Linked DNA regions of Ovis aries. The protein of the gene in region 1 interacts with the protein of each later gene in a biochemical or structural test. Links are inferred from orthologs where the notes say so. Each region holds a gene or a part of one and is shown in the gene's direction. Other genes may lie near its edges. The genes, in order: FGA, FAM20C and PLAT.

Region 1 (4,252 bases):
AGCCTGGTCAGACAAAGAAGCTTCCATGGAGCAGGTGGTGTGGGAAGGCTCTGCCTTGTACCAGGACTCTCACACAATCACACCAGGCTTCACACACCCACAGAGCCTGAAGAGACAGTGGTCACAACAGTGGAGTTCATGTATGCTTTCTTGTTTGGTGAAGTCCCATACCTTTTGAGGAAAATATAAAGATCAATAAAATATGTCAGTTCTCCAGTTTATGATTTAATGGATGAGATGGATAATGTTCCTGTAGTACTAAATATTATGAGTGGTACATGGTCTAAGGAAGTATGAAAAAATAAGAGGCAGATTTCAATTGGAGACATGAAATCAGGTACTATGTAAAGTGTCCAACAAAGTGCCCAGCATGTAGTAAACACTCAATAATTTTTGGTTATTATACTACGATCAGGATTGGCTTCATATAGGAAGCAGCATTTGAGACAAGGTAGGATTGACAGACATATCATAGGATGCCCAGTTAAATATATATTTCAAATAAACAACAACAATAAATTTTTAGTCTATGTCCAAATACTGAATGGGACACACTAACACTAAAATATATTTGCTGTTTATCCGACATTCAAATTTAACTGGGCATCCTCGTCTTTTATTTGCTAAATCTGGTAACTCCTTAGAAAAGAAAATTCAATAAAGAGCAGGGAAATAAATTAGCAGGTCCAAAGTTACAGAAACCGGAAAGAAATAATAGTTTCATTGCATTTTATGTTTTCCAATAATTGTTCACACTTACTACTGAGTACTTACTATGTGGCAATCTGAGGGCTTTACAAAGATTAACTTATTTATTCTTCATAAAAATGTGTGGTAAGTTATCACTAGGAGGAATCTGAGGCATAAAGAAGTGGAGTACTTTGTCCAAAAGCAGAGCTGGGAAATGGTGTAGCTGGGATTATGAATCTAGGATATTTGGCTTCAGGGGCTGCCTGTCCTAACCATTCTGGATAAAGGGAAGTCATCTCTGCTCACAGTAAGCTTACTGAAGCCCTTCAGGATCAGTTCATCGTCATAGTCAGTCAAAAGTCAGATCCACCAACCATCATTCCTATGTAAACTGAAACCTCAGTTGTCAAATCTCTACCTCCTGGTGGGCTATGGCTAGCCTGCCTCTGCCACCCTCTGTATTCTTTCAAGTACTCCAATAGTAGGTCCTCCCATGTTCCCCCTTGCATTTCCAAAGTCACCATGTTCCTGGAATGTGGAATTTTCCACGAACTGGGCTACCTTTGCAATAGCTTATCAGAAGCAAACAAGCTTGGGGAATTGAGCAAGAAATTCTAGGACAACAACCTTACAGAAGGAGCGAGGGATGCAGGGTGCATGTTGACTGTCTCAATGGGACAAAGATAATGATTAATCAGACCTCCTGCAGATTTAAATAGGATGGGGCCTGGAAGAGGAGGCAGTCTTCCTTTCTTTCAGCTGGGTGCTTCTCTTGAGTCAGACCTACCCACGGCAGAGATGTTTTCCGTGAGGGACCTCTGCCTGGTCCTGAGTTTGGTGGGTGCAATTCAGGTATGGCCTCTATTTCCTTTTCTCTTTCTCCCTGGTGTTTATTCTACAAAGAGCTTGCAGGTCTGAGTCAGCTATGTGTATATCATCACACACTGCTGGCTTTATAAACTGTAGCCTGTGGAGGCAAGTTCCCAGATAGGACTGACATCTCAAGAATACAGGGAATATGATCCTAAGAGAGAGACTTAGCTGGACCCAAGTGTATAAATTCACAGGGGGAAGCTTCTGCACCTGTACCTTGGTTTTATATTGTTTGTTTGTTTTAAAGAGAAGAAATCTTTGCTATCTTTGTTGCTGTAAAGCCTTGGGATTGCTAGCTAACAGAACATTCTTATGATAAGAATTTTTAACCTAATTATTAATTTGTATTTGCCCATAACATGCAGAGCAATGGTTTAATGTAGCTTTTCTAAGAGTTTGTTTTGTGTTTAAGACAAAAGAAAATTAGCTATTTTTTAAAACAAATTACACAGTAAAATCAGAAGAGATTAATTGATAAAGCAATATGCTTTTGGAAGAAATTGTATGCTTTTAAGATAATCACAAATATTGCAATAATTCCTAAAGTTTGACTACAAGGTTCTACACAAAAGAAGAGAAACTTCATTCAACAATACTTTTGAAACACAATTAATCTTATGAAAACATCATAAATCTGTTCTAAAAATTCAGTTACTTCCAGGCCGTGAACTATGCTGGTTTATTTCTTTCTCTTTACTACTTATAAACCCTACCAGAGTAGAAGAAACTCAAGAGTATTTCTAACATAATTTTCTCCCGTACAGTAAGCAACAAATAACCATTTTTTTAGGAAATAAGACTAACATCACTTGCTAAAGTTATATTTTGCATAATGCATAAATTTCATTTATTTCTCCACTATTGGCATAAATATTTAATTTTCACCTGTTTTTATTATCTTGTCATTTTATTCCAAAGTACGTCTAAATTTATAATTTTATTTTTTAAAACAAAAAGATTGTGCTTGTTCCTTTAAATAAATCGCTCTTGATTGCTTGAATTCACATTACTATTATTGGTTTTTTTTTTTTTAATGAGACAGAAAATACTAACTAATTATAAAAATAAACTACTGAGGGCTTTCCTAGTGGCTCAGTGGTAAAGAATCCACCTGCCATTGCAGGAGATGCAAGAAAGGCAGGTTCAATCCCTAGTCTGGGAAGATCCCACATGCCGCAGAGCAACTAAGCCCATGCTCCAGAGCTATTGAGCCTGTGCTCTAAAGCCTGGGAACCGCAACTACTGCAGCCCGAAAGCCCTAGGGTCTGTTCTCCGCAACAAGAGAACCCACGACCATGCACACCGTAAGTGGAGAGGATTCCCAAAACTAGAGAAAAGCCAGCGCAGAGAAAATAAATAAATTAAATGATAACAAAAATAAACTACTGAGATTAAGACAGTCGGAAAACTCCCTGCAAGTCGGTGGTACAAAATAAAAATAGTTAAAACCTAAAATCAACATTGATGTATTAAGTTATACCACCTTGTTGGAAGAATATTTATATATCCTATTTCACTCATTGATACCAATAGAAAATTTTTTTAAATTTTTATTTCCAATTATAAGATGTTCAAAAAAAGTTGCCAATCTTGGACCTTCTTTTTTTTCTTTCAGTATACTTTTCATTTCAAATAAAAGAAATTATTATGTGAGTAACCCTAAAAGCATTTCTGAGTCTGAATTGTCCACATATTTGTCCTCAGTATATGGTTGTTTAAATTTTGGACCCATAAGGTCATTGTAGATATTCGAAGGAGACACAGACCTGAAGTGTAGGTTTTTTCCTATTAAAACAGGAGTTAGAGGAGAGAGAACTCTTGAGTTTCTCCATTATTTTTCTATCTCCAGATATGAACGAAAATGTAAATTTTAACTGTTTGTTGATTCAAGTAATTTTTCTTTAATAACAGATCCTTTAAAACTCCTAACATTTACGAAAGGTTTGATTAGTGTCAAACACAGTTAAGGTTCGTACACTAATCTCCTTTAACCTCACAACTGCACAAAATGGGCCTTAAGGATTTTCATCCAAAAGATAAGAAAACTGAAGCTTATAGAGCCCCTTGGATCCCTTGGTCAGGATTTATAGGCATGCCAGTGTCTCCTCTTTATCTGCTTAAAGATCACCTCTCTTTTTTGTGTGTGTTATCGTTAAAGACAGCAGATGATAGTGATCCTGTCGGCGGTGAATTTTTAGCTGAAGGAGGAGGGGTGCGTGGCCCAAGACTTGTGGAAAAACAGCAATCTACCTGCAAAGAGACAGGCTGGCCCTTCTGCGCTGATGAAGACTGGGTGAGCCATGGGCACGGGGACTGGGGCAGGAGAGCCCTTCCCTGGGCACATGGATTGACTCTGGACAGTCCTTCCTGGCCTGCTGGCAAGTGCATGCAAGCTGCCACTTCAGGTCACTGAAAACTCGTCCAGTAGCAAATAACCTGATCAACCTACATAGCGAATAAAAGAAGACAAGGAGAAAAGAACCTAGTCCTGAGAGCACTGCTTAAATTACCTCCCAGGCTCTGGGTCATTGGTGGGATTAACAGATTGGATTTTAGCTGCATGTTCAGACAAGTACTAGGAACCTGAGTATCAGGGCCTCCAGATTTCATGGGTCCTAATCTATGGTTAAGCGGACCCTGGTCTCTGACTAGCCCTCTGAAACTACTTTTAGGTCAAGAAATGATCTGA
Region 2 (3,562 bases), on another chromosome or scaffold:
CCAGCAGCCCTGCCCCTTGTGACACCCCACGCACACCCGCGGGGCCTCTGAGATGGGCAAGGACTCACCCCTCCTGCCAGCAAAGCCCCAGACATTCAGGGGAACCGGCCTGGATTCTCCGGGACCCTCAGGCTGGCAGGCTGGGACCCCCTGATTTTCACGGAGACCGGAGCCAGGGAGCCCGTTTCGTTGGAGTCCTCGGGTCCTCCCCGCCGTCTGGCCCGCTGCCCTGAGCTGCCCTGGGCATCACTGTCAAGAGGAACAGGCACTGCCTCCCCGAGCCCAGCCACTCCACGCCTGTCCTCTCTGCTCCCTGAGTCAGGAGCTGCACAGCCCCCTGTTCAGGGACGGAGGCTCGGAGGAGTGAGGGCCCGGCCCCGCACGGGGCTGCAGAGCGGAGCAGTGAGAAGCCACAGGCTGGAGGAGCCCCACCCTGACGCCCCTGCACAGGCCGGGTTTCTGACGGGGAGAAGGCTGTGGGCCCGGGAAATGCCTCTCTCTTCACTTGACTCCATCTAAAGTCAGCTTAGGCTCAGAGGTTACAGACACGAATTCCAGGGCTCGGAGAGGATTTTCCTCCTGAAAACGGGCCGAGATTGAATCATGTCGACACAAGAGACCTCAGGCTGAGCCCAGTCTGCAGCAGCGCTGCAGGATCCTGAGGTGCAGGGCAGGGGCGGGCAGGCTTTGCTGTTGTCAGGGCGGGGGCCGGTGCGGAGGGGCCACGGGCTTGGGGCTTGTTTCCCCCACAAACAAAGGCAGTGACGGAGCGCAGGAACTCGGTTCCATAGGTAAGCGCAGGCTCAGACACGCCCGCCGCCCAGCACGAGGCGCTTCGCGACTCTGCTCCTGTGGGGCCGTGACCCACACGTCTTGGGTCCAGTGTCTGAAATGTGCAGTTAAGTGGTTTTTAGTGCATTCTCCGTGTTGTGCAGCAGGCCCCACTGATTCCAGGGTATTTGCTCTCCCCGAAAGAAGCCATCACTGTTCAAAGCCACCCCCTCCCCTCCTCTTGGCTCTGAGAGCCGCCAGCTCCCATTCAGTTCGTCCCCTGCCAGGGTCTCGTGCGCACGGTGTCTGGCTTTGCCCACAGTGTTCGTGGCTCGTCCATGTGGTGTTCCACTTCGTTCCTTTTGTGGCTAAGTGCTGTTCCACGTTACGGGCAAACCACGCTGCCTCCGGGGGTGGTCTGCTGGGAACACCTCCGTCAAGGGTCTGCGTGGACGTGTGTCTTCCCTTCTCTCGGGTGTGTGCCTGGGAGTGGGGTGGCCAGGTTACCGGTTCTGTGTCCAGCTTTCTGACTGGTTTTCACAGCAGCTGCACCACTTGACATCCCCACCACAGCTGCATCAGGGTGCAGCCAGTTTCTCCACACTGTCAACCACACTGGTGGTATCTGTTCTTTTGATCAAAACTGTCCTAGTGGGTGAGAAACTGCGGATTTGATTTGCATTTCCCCGATGACTCACGGTGCCCAGCATCTTTCCCCGTGCTTGTTGGCCATTACTATATATTCTTTGGAGAAGGATCCTTGAACTCCTTTGCCCATTTATAGATTGGGTTATTTATCTTTTTATTACTGAGATGGAAGGGTTCTTGTGTGAATACTGGGTGCTTATTCGGTCATGATTGCAAGCATCTCCCCCATGCTGCCTCTCTTTGGAATGAGGGCCTTTTGCAAACCACTGAACAGAACCTCCACAGACCCCAGACCTAGTTTGGAGGGTGATGAGGAAGAACCCAGACTCCGATCCGAGCTCTGCATCCCTAGCTGTGTGGCCCCGGGGCTGGGGCAGGTGGCTGAGGTCCAGGGTGAGGCCGTGGGCGGGCCCCGCCCAGGGAGGGAAGACGAAGACTTGGTGCCGACACGCAGACCCCGCCTGCGGGGCCCCCGCTGACCGCCCCCTCCGCCCGCAGCCAACAACATCTGTTTCTACGGGGAGTGCTCGTACTACTGTTCCACGGAGCACGCGCTATGCGGGAAGCCGGACCAGATCGAGGGCTCACTGGCCGCCTTCCTGCCCGACCTGTCCCTGGCCAAGCGGAAGACCTGGCGGAACCCTTGGCGACGCTCGTACCACAAGCGCAAGAAGGCAGAGTGCGTTGGGGGCGCGCTGGGCCGGGGACTCTGGAGTCCTGCCTCCCTGGGGTCTCGGGAGGGCTGGCTCCCACCCGACCTGCTGTAGAGAACGAGCCCCAGGGTCTTGTCCACAGCAGACGGTGTGAGGAGCCGCAGGGCTGCACTTGAGGCCGCAGATAATCAGAAAGGGCCCCTCACGCAGGGACTGGGCGCCAACTCCCCCCCGGGTCTCTCCACAACTGGACGAGGCTTCAGATCCCTTCCCCCCCTTGAGAGAGACGCTGTCCCTCCAGCTGTGGAGACGTCCTCGCGAGTGAGCTGTCCCGGCCTGTCCACACACGTGGCCTCTGGGTGGTGTGGTTTAGTCGCCTCCCCGCCCCGTGCTCCTCCCAGCCCCGTTAACGCAGCCTCAGCCCACCACAGAGATCCTTTGCTCTGCGGTGACACCTTTTCTCACGCAGTCCCCCGGCTGCCCCATGGATCCGCGGTCCTGAGCCGGGCAGCCCCAGGCCCCAGGAGGTGGTTTGGGCCTCCTTGTCATAGAGGAGCCCACCACTCTGATGCCGGGTCCCCTGCAGGTGGGAGGTGGACCCTGACTACTGCGAGGAGGTGAAGCAGACTCCGCCCTACGACAGCAGCCGCCGCATCCTGGACATCATGGACATGACCATCTTCGACTTCCTCATGGGTACGTCCAGGGCCCCTGGCCTGCCCAGCGAGCGCCCAGCTCAGGCCCAGCTGCCGCGGCCGTGCTCATGCTCACTGCTCCCCGCGCGGAGGCCGGACGGGGAGGGAGGGCGGCGCGCCTCCGAGCCTCACGCAGGCTCCCAGCAGGCTGGTCCCCACAGGGAACATGGACCGCCATCACTACGAGACCTTCGAGAAGTTTGGGAATGACACATTCATCATCCACTTGGACAACGGGAGAGGGTGAGTCCTCCCGGGCGCCGCGAGGGGCCAGCTGCCCCGGCCCAGACACACCGGGGGGCGGGCGCTCCGTGGGAGGGACGGCCCGGCCCCCAGAGGCCCCCTGGGGTGACGCAGGGCCCTGGCCCGGGCTCCTGTGAGCTGGGGACAGGGCCCCAGAGCAGGCGTGTATGCAGGCCTCAGGCCCTCCGGGGGTCAGAGCGGCAAGTACCTGGACGCCTCGGGGGAGTCAGCTCTGGGCCCCTGGGCAGTGTGTGGGGCCCTCACGCCCAGCTGTAAAAGACACCCCTGCGGCTGGATCCGAGGCTGCCCTGCGCTCGGGCCTTGTCCACCTAGCCCGGCCAGGGCCTCTCGCTGTCGAGCTTCCGCTCAGTCCAGCAACCAGAGGGTGAGACGGGCTGTGTTCACCTGCCTCGCCCGAGGCCCTGCGTCTGGGCTGGGGACAGCAGGAGGCGGGCCCCGGCGGGCCCCAGGGGCAGCCTGGCAGCACTGCCCAGGTGCCCCCGCCCGCTCCCCAGCTCTGCCCTTCTTGCCCCAGGTTTGGGAAGCACTCTC
Region 3 (4,302 bases), on another chromosome or scaffold:
CACCCCTACCCCTGCTGAACCAAAATGCCAAAAAATCCCCAAACCCTCCAAGCCTTATTCTGGCAAAGTAGACATCTCGAGGCACTCCCCCCGGCCTGCTGTAGCTTGTCTGATGCTGGTCTGCAGCTTGCCTGGCTCTGATGCACCAGGATATGCCTGACTTGGTCCCCCACTGCCTTTCCTGTAACGGCCGTTGGCAGGGCTCTGGTTTGATTAAAATGTAGAAAACTGGTTCGACCTTGGCCACGCTAGCATTATTTTCCAAATCCCGAATCAGCTCTCATTGCTTGATAAACACGAGCGTGTTTAGGATTAGAATACAGGACACCTGGCCGCTCGTCCCTCCCACTTTCCTCTGCCAGCCCCCAGCATCCTCTCCAGCACCCTTCCTCGTCCTCCTCTCTCACCCTCATGGTGCCTGGTCTCCACTAGACATCGACATAACAGATGCCACCGACTGTGCCCTGTGACGTGCCAGGGATCTCGCGTGCTTTGTCTCTCTCTAATCCATATGTGACCTCAGACGTGAAAGCTCAGCATCACTGAAAAACTTGACTGAGGTCACATCCCTCATGCCCGGTACAGCTGATTCAAGCGTCTGCCTTTCCCTACATGGCTCAGCCCTGGGCCCTGACTTATGAGTCCTCTGCAGGGGGTTACCAAATCCTACGGAGCATTTACGATTAAGAGCAAACTCCAGAACACTAAAACACTTCCCAGTGTCGGGGTGGGCGGGGAGGGATGGAGTTTCTAGTACAGGCAGCCCCGTGGAGTCAGAGCATCAACTCAGCAACCCCACCTGTATCCCCCAGCCCAACCAGACATCTCTGGAGCTGAACAGACCTTAGTAATCAAGGATTCACTTTATGAAGAAGTGAAATGATTTCCCCCCGGGGTGATGGAGCTAGGAGTGGCTCACTCCAGGCTGGGGCACTGCAGGTGTGCAGGTGGGGCCTGCCTACCTCTGCTAACCTGTCCTCACCCCAGCCCCAGGTGATCAAGCCCGCAGGGCGGCTGGCCCTGCCAGGCCCGCTGTTTCAATCTCCTGTGTCCAGAGGGGCAGAGTGACTGCTGGAGATTCCGGAAGAACCCTATCCACTCCGTGTGTCTTTGTTTAGAATTGTAAAAGCCTCTCTCCCCCACTGGGGCTTAGAGCTAACGGATCCTCAGGGTCCCTTTAAGGAGGTTGAGACTAGGGTTTGAAAGGAAGATGGTTCTTCGGGTTCCCCTCCAACATCCAACTCCCAAATTCCTGTGATTCGTTGATGACATCAGGACCATGAATAATCGGCCTGGCCCCGAGCCAGGATGGGCTGGGCTGCTTCCATGGGGGAAATTCCTCCCCCCCTTTATGAAAAGAGGCCCGCCCCAGCTTGGCTCCTGCGGGGCCCAGTGTCCACTGGGCATCCTCCTGCCGCAGCAAAGCCCGCCCACCCAGGGCCAGCGACCCCACCCCCTGCCTTGAAATTTAAAGGAGGCCGGTGCCCTGCAGGGAGAGCCAGCCACGGTCCTGCAGAGCCTGGCGCCGAAGACAACGCCTCTGGAGGAGGGAGAAGGCTTGGGCGCACGGTAGGTTGGACTCTGTGCCTCTCTGTCCCTGGCTCCTCTTCTCTCTCTTAAAAGTCTTTATGAGCCACTGAAGGAATGTCGGCCCGAGGGGGCTGACTCCGTCACTCAGGCCAAAAGTGGGGTTCGCTAGAATCCATGTCTGGAGGGAGGTTTCTTTTTGAATGTGCATCCTACAGGGATGGGCTGAAGCGTTCGAGGGGACAGCAGCGGTCAGGGCAAGAGAGAGGGCACTAGGGTTGTGTCTCCTGAAGCAGAAATCTCTGCTCGCACAGGGGAAAGTGAAAAGGGTGATCCATACCCGCTCTGAGTAGACGGTGGGCCCGGCTCATCACTCACGGGCAAGAGAAGGGAGACAGGCTGATGGGGTCAGAGGCCAGAGGGTCCCGGGGGCATGAGCCCACAGGGAAACTGAGGCAGGGCTGGGCAGAGAGCGACTTGCCCACGGAGGATTCACTGGGTGGGAAGTGCTGGGTGAGAGGAAGGGGGAAACCGTCAGAGCGAAGCCTCCGGTCTCCTTCCGAGGCCGGGTTTTGTCCTCTGGCTTTTTGCCCAGGATGGGAGGGGAGGGCTCTTTGAGGACTCTTCCAATTACAGAGTCTTCTCTTCCCCAAGCTCTCTACAGGAACTGTATTGGGCATTCTAGGCTTTCACTGTTATTATGTTGATTTTCTTTACCTCCCAGAGAGGGAGGGAGGGAGGGAAGGAAGGCACTCTAAGGTAACTGATGACACGCTCAAGCCCAAAGCCGTGTGGTGGCGGTGACTGATGTGGACGGCAGTGGTGGCCTCCCGCAGCTGGTGCATGACAGAGAAAACATTATGTGTGTGTGCGTGTGCATGTGTGTGCAAGCCCATGAAGAAATTCTGAAATACAGCCGCTAAGTGGAGTTTCCTCAGAAGGGCTTCCTAGCAAGTCTTGCCTGGGGGCAGAAGACGTCCCAGGATCTGGGCTCTGACTGCTCCAGAATCAATAGATGACAGTCAGAGGAGCTGCCGGCTAAGTGCTTCCTGTGAGAGCAAAGCCAGACCTGGCGCCAGCAGAGACGGCGCAAATAACCGAAATAGGAAGAGCTCCATCCTACCCATCAACTGATCGCACCTAAAACATTCTCAGAGACACCAGCCTGCAAGCGCCGGCTCTTGGCATGAGCAAGCGAGAGCTTGCTCTCCGCCCGAATGGTCCAGGCTCTTTGCGGATGCTCGGTTTATTTTATAAACCATTAGATCAGATTCTCCCAGTGAGGCTGCTCTCTGTGGCTTCTGCACTGGCCTGGGACAGTTCCTGCTTCTGGAGGAACAGAAATGGTCCCATGATGAGTTTTCGCTTGTGGGGGCAGGACCTGGGGACCTGGGGACCTAGCGTGTTGGTGAGCAGAGCTGGTGATCAGTAGATTTCAAACGAATGCAAAGAGCAACCCAGCCAGATCCCTGGCGGTGTGACGTGAAGCTGTCATCACCACGAAAGGCTTTTTGTGAGTGAGTGGCCAGGACCACAGGCCATCTGGGAAGTCCCTGCCCAGGTGGGGCCTGTCTCTACTTCACCTCCAGGTCTTCTGGTCCCGCCTGGGGTTTTACAGCAGCGTGAGGGGCCTTGGGCTAGACCGTCGTTTGAGAGGAGCACAGTTGGCTTTAAACTTCCAAAGCTTCCAGAGGGAGGGTAGGCTGTCTTGGATCAGAGGCCGAGGGGACAGCATGGCTCATGGAATGAATAGCAAGCAGGCTTGCTGTGTGTGCTAAATCACTTCAGTCGTGTCTGGCTCTTTGGAACCCCACTGACTGTAGCCTGCCAGGCTCCTCTGTCGATGGGAGTCTCCAGGCAAGAATACTGGCATGGATTGCCATGCCCTCCTCCAGGGAATCTTCCCCACCCAGGGATCGAACCAGCATCTCTTATGTCTCCTGTGTTGGCAGGTAGGTTCTTTACTGCTAGCGCCACCTGGGAAGCCCAATAGTAGGCTTAGTTCCAGTCAAAACTCAAAATCTATATGCTTCTCTGAATACTGAATATCTGGGGGAGGGAGGAGGGAACATTTGTGTCTTGAGTTGAAGTGTTCAGTTTCAAAGGCTCCCAGGCATGTGCAGTCTCAGAATAAAATCTGTATTCCCTATGAGTGACTTTCTGCCTTGTTCTGATAGGATGGTCAGAGTGGACGGTGAGTGACCGGAATACTCTGTTCATTCCTTCTTTGGCTGTTCTCTGTGCACAGAGAAAAACTGTGTCCCTAGTTTCAGACAGTAAAACTCATCCTAGCCAACCAGCTCACAAAACCAAGGGCTGGGTCTCCAGTGGAGCCAGATTAAAAGGTGAGGAGGATCCAGACTCACAGAAAGCTCGAGCTAGGAAGAATCTTCTGAACCATCTGCCCTAGTCCAGCCCTCAAGTCCAGGCACACGGTCTCCTGCTATTCGCCTGAGCGTCTACTTACATATTAAGGAGAGCACACTTTCTCAGTCATACTTGTGCATTTTACATTCCACTTTCCCACCTGCGAAAAAGACTTCTATAGAAGGGCATAGAGGGATAGATGAACAGACCTCTTGATCGCCTGAAAGTTGAAACTTAGTACAAAGGGAAAAGGAACTGGGTGCTGGGCCCACAGCAGGCATTTTATAAACAGTTTTGAAGGTACAAGCCAGGCAAGTTCTGGTTTTGATCATGATTCTCCAGAAAATGATAGCAGCAGTTCTTCCTGGGGAACTGGTACAACTGGGGGGTCTTTAGCAGCTGCCCACA

The links.
Region 2: of the proteins of FGA (region 1) and FAM20C, one has a biochemical effect on the other in vitro, tested with the Homo sapiens proteins (2 studies listed by IntAct). The link is inferred for Ovis aries from reciprocal best matches to the Homo sapiens genes FGA and FAM20C.
Region 3: the proteins of FGA (region 1) and PLAT form a complex in vitro, tested with the Homo sapiens proteins (2 studies listed by BioGRID). The link is inferred for Ovis aries from reciprocal best matches to the Homo sapiens genes FGA and PLAT.

What each region holds. Positions count from the first base shown.
Region 1 is NC_056070.1:3,025,186-3,029,437, forward strand, and holds the start of FGA (fibrinogen alpha chain), read left to right. Parts: upstream 1-1,424; 5' UTR 1,425-1,488; coding exon 1,489-1,542; intron 1,543-3,721; coding exon 3,722-3,856; intron 3,857-4,252. UniProt on the Homo sapiens protein: Cleaved by the protease thrombin to yield monomers which, together with fibrinogen beta (FGB) and fibrinogen gamma (FGG), polymerize to form an insoluble fibrin matrix. Fibrin has a major function in hemostasis as one of the primary components of blood clots.
Region 2 is NW_024599764.1:35,578-39,139, reverse strand, and holds part of FAM20C (extracellular serine/threonine protein kinase FAM20C), read left to right. Parts: intron 1-1,917; coding exon 1,918-2,098; intron 2,099-2,658; coding exon 2,659-2,768; intron 2,769-2,928; coding exon 2,929-3,010; intron 3,011-3,545; coding exon 3,546-3,562. UniProt on the Homo sapiens protein: Golgi serine/threonine protein kinase that phosphorylates secretory pathway proteins within Ser-x-Glu/pSer motifs and plays a key role in biomineralization of bones and teeth.
Region 3 is NC_056079.1:36,401,506-36,405,807, reverse strand, and holds the start of PLAT (tissue-type plasminogen activator), read left to right. Parts: upstream 1-1,490; 5' UTR 1,491-1,569; intron 1,570-4,302. UniProt on the Homo sapiens protein: Converts the abundant, but inactive, zymogen plasminogen to plasmin by hydrolyzing a single Arg-Val bond in plasminogen.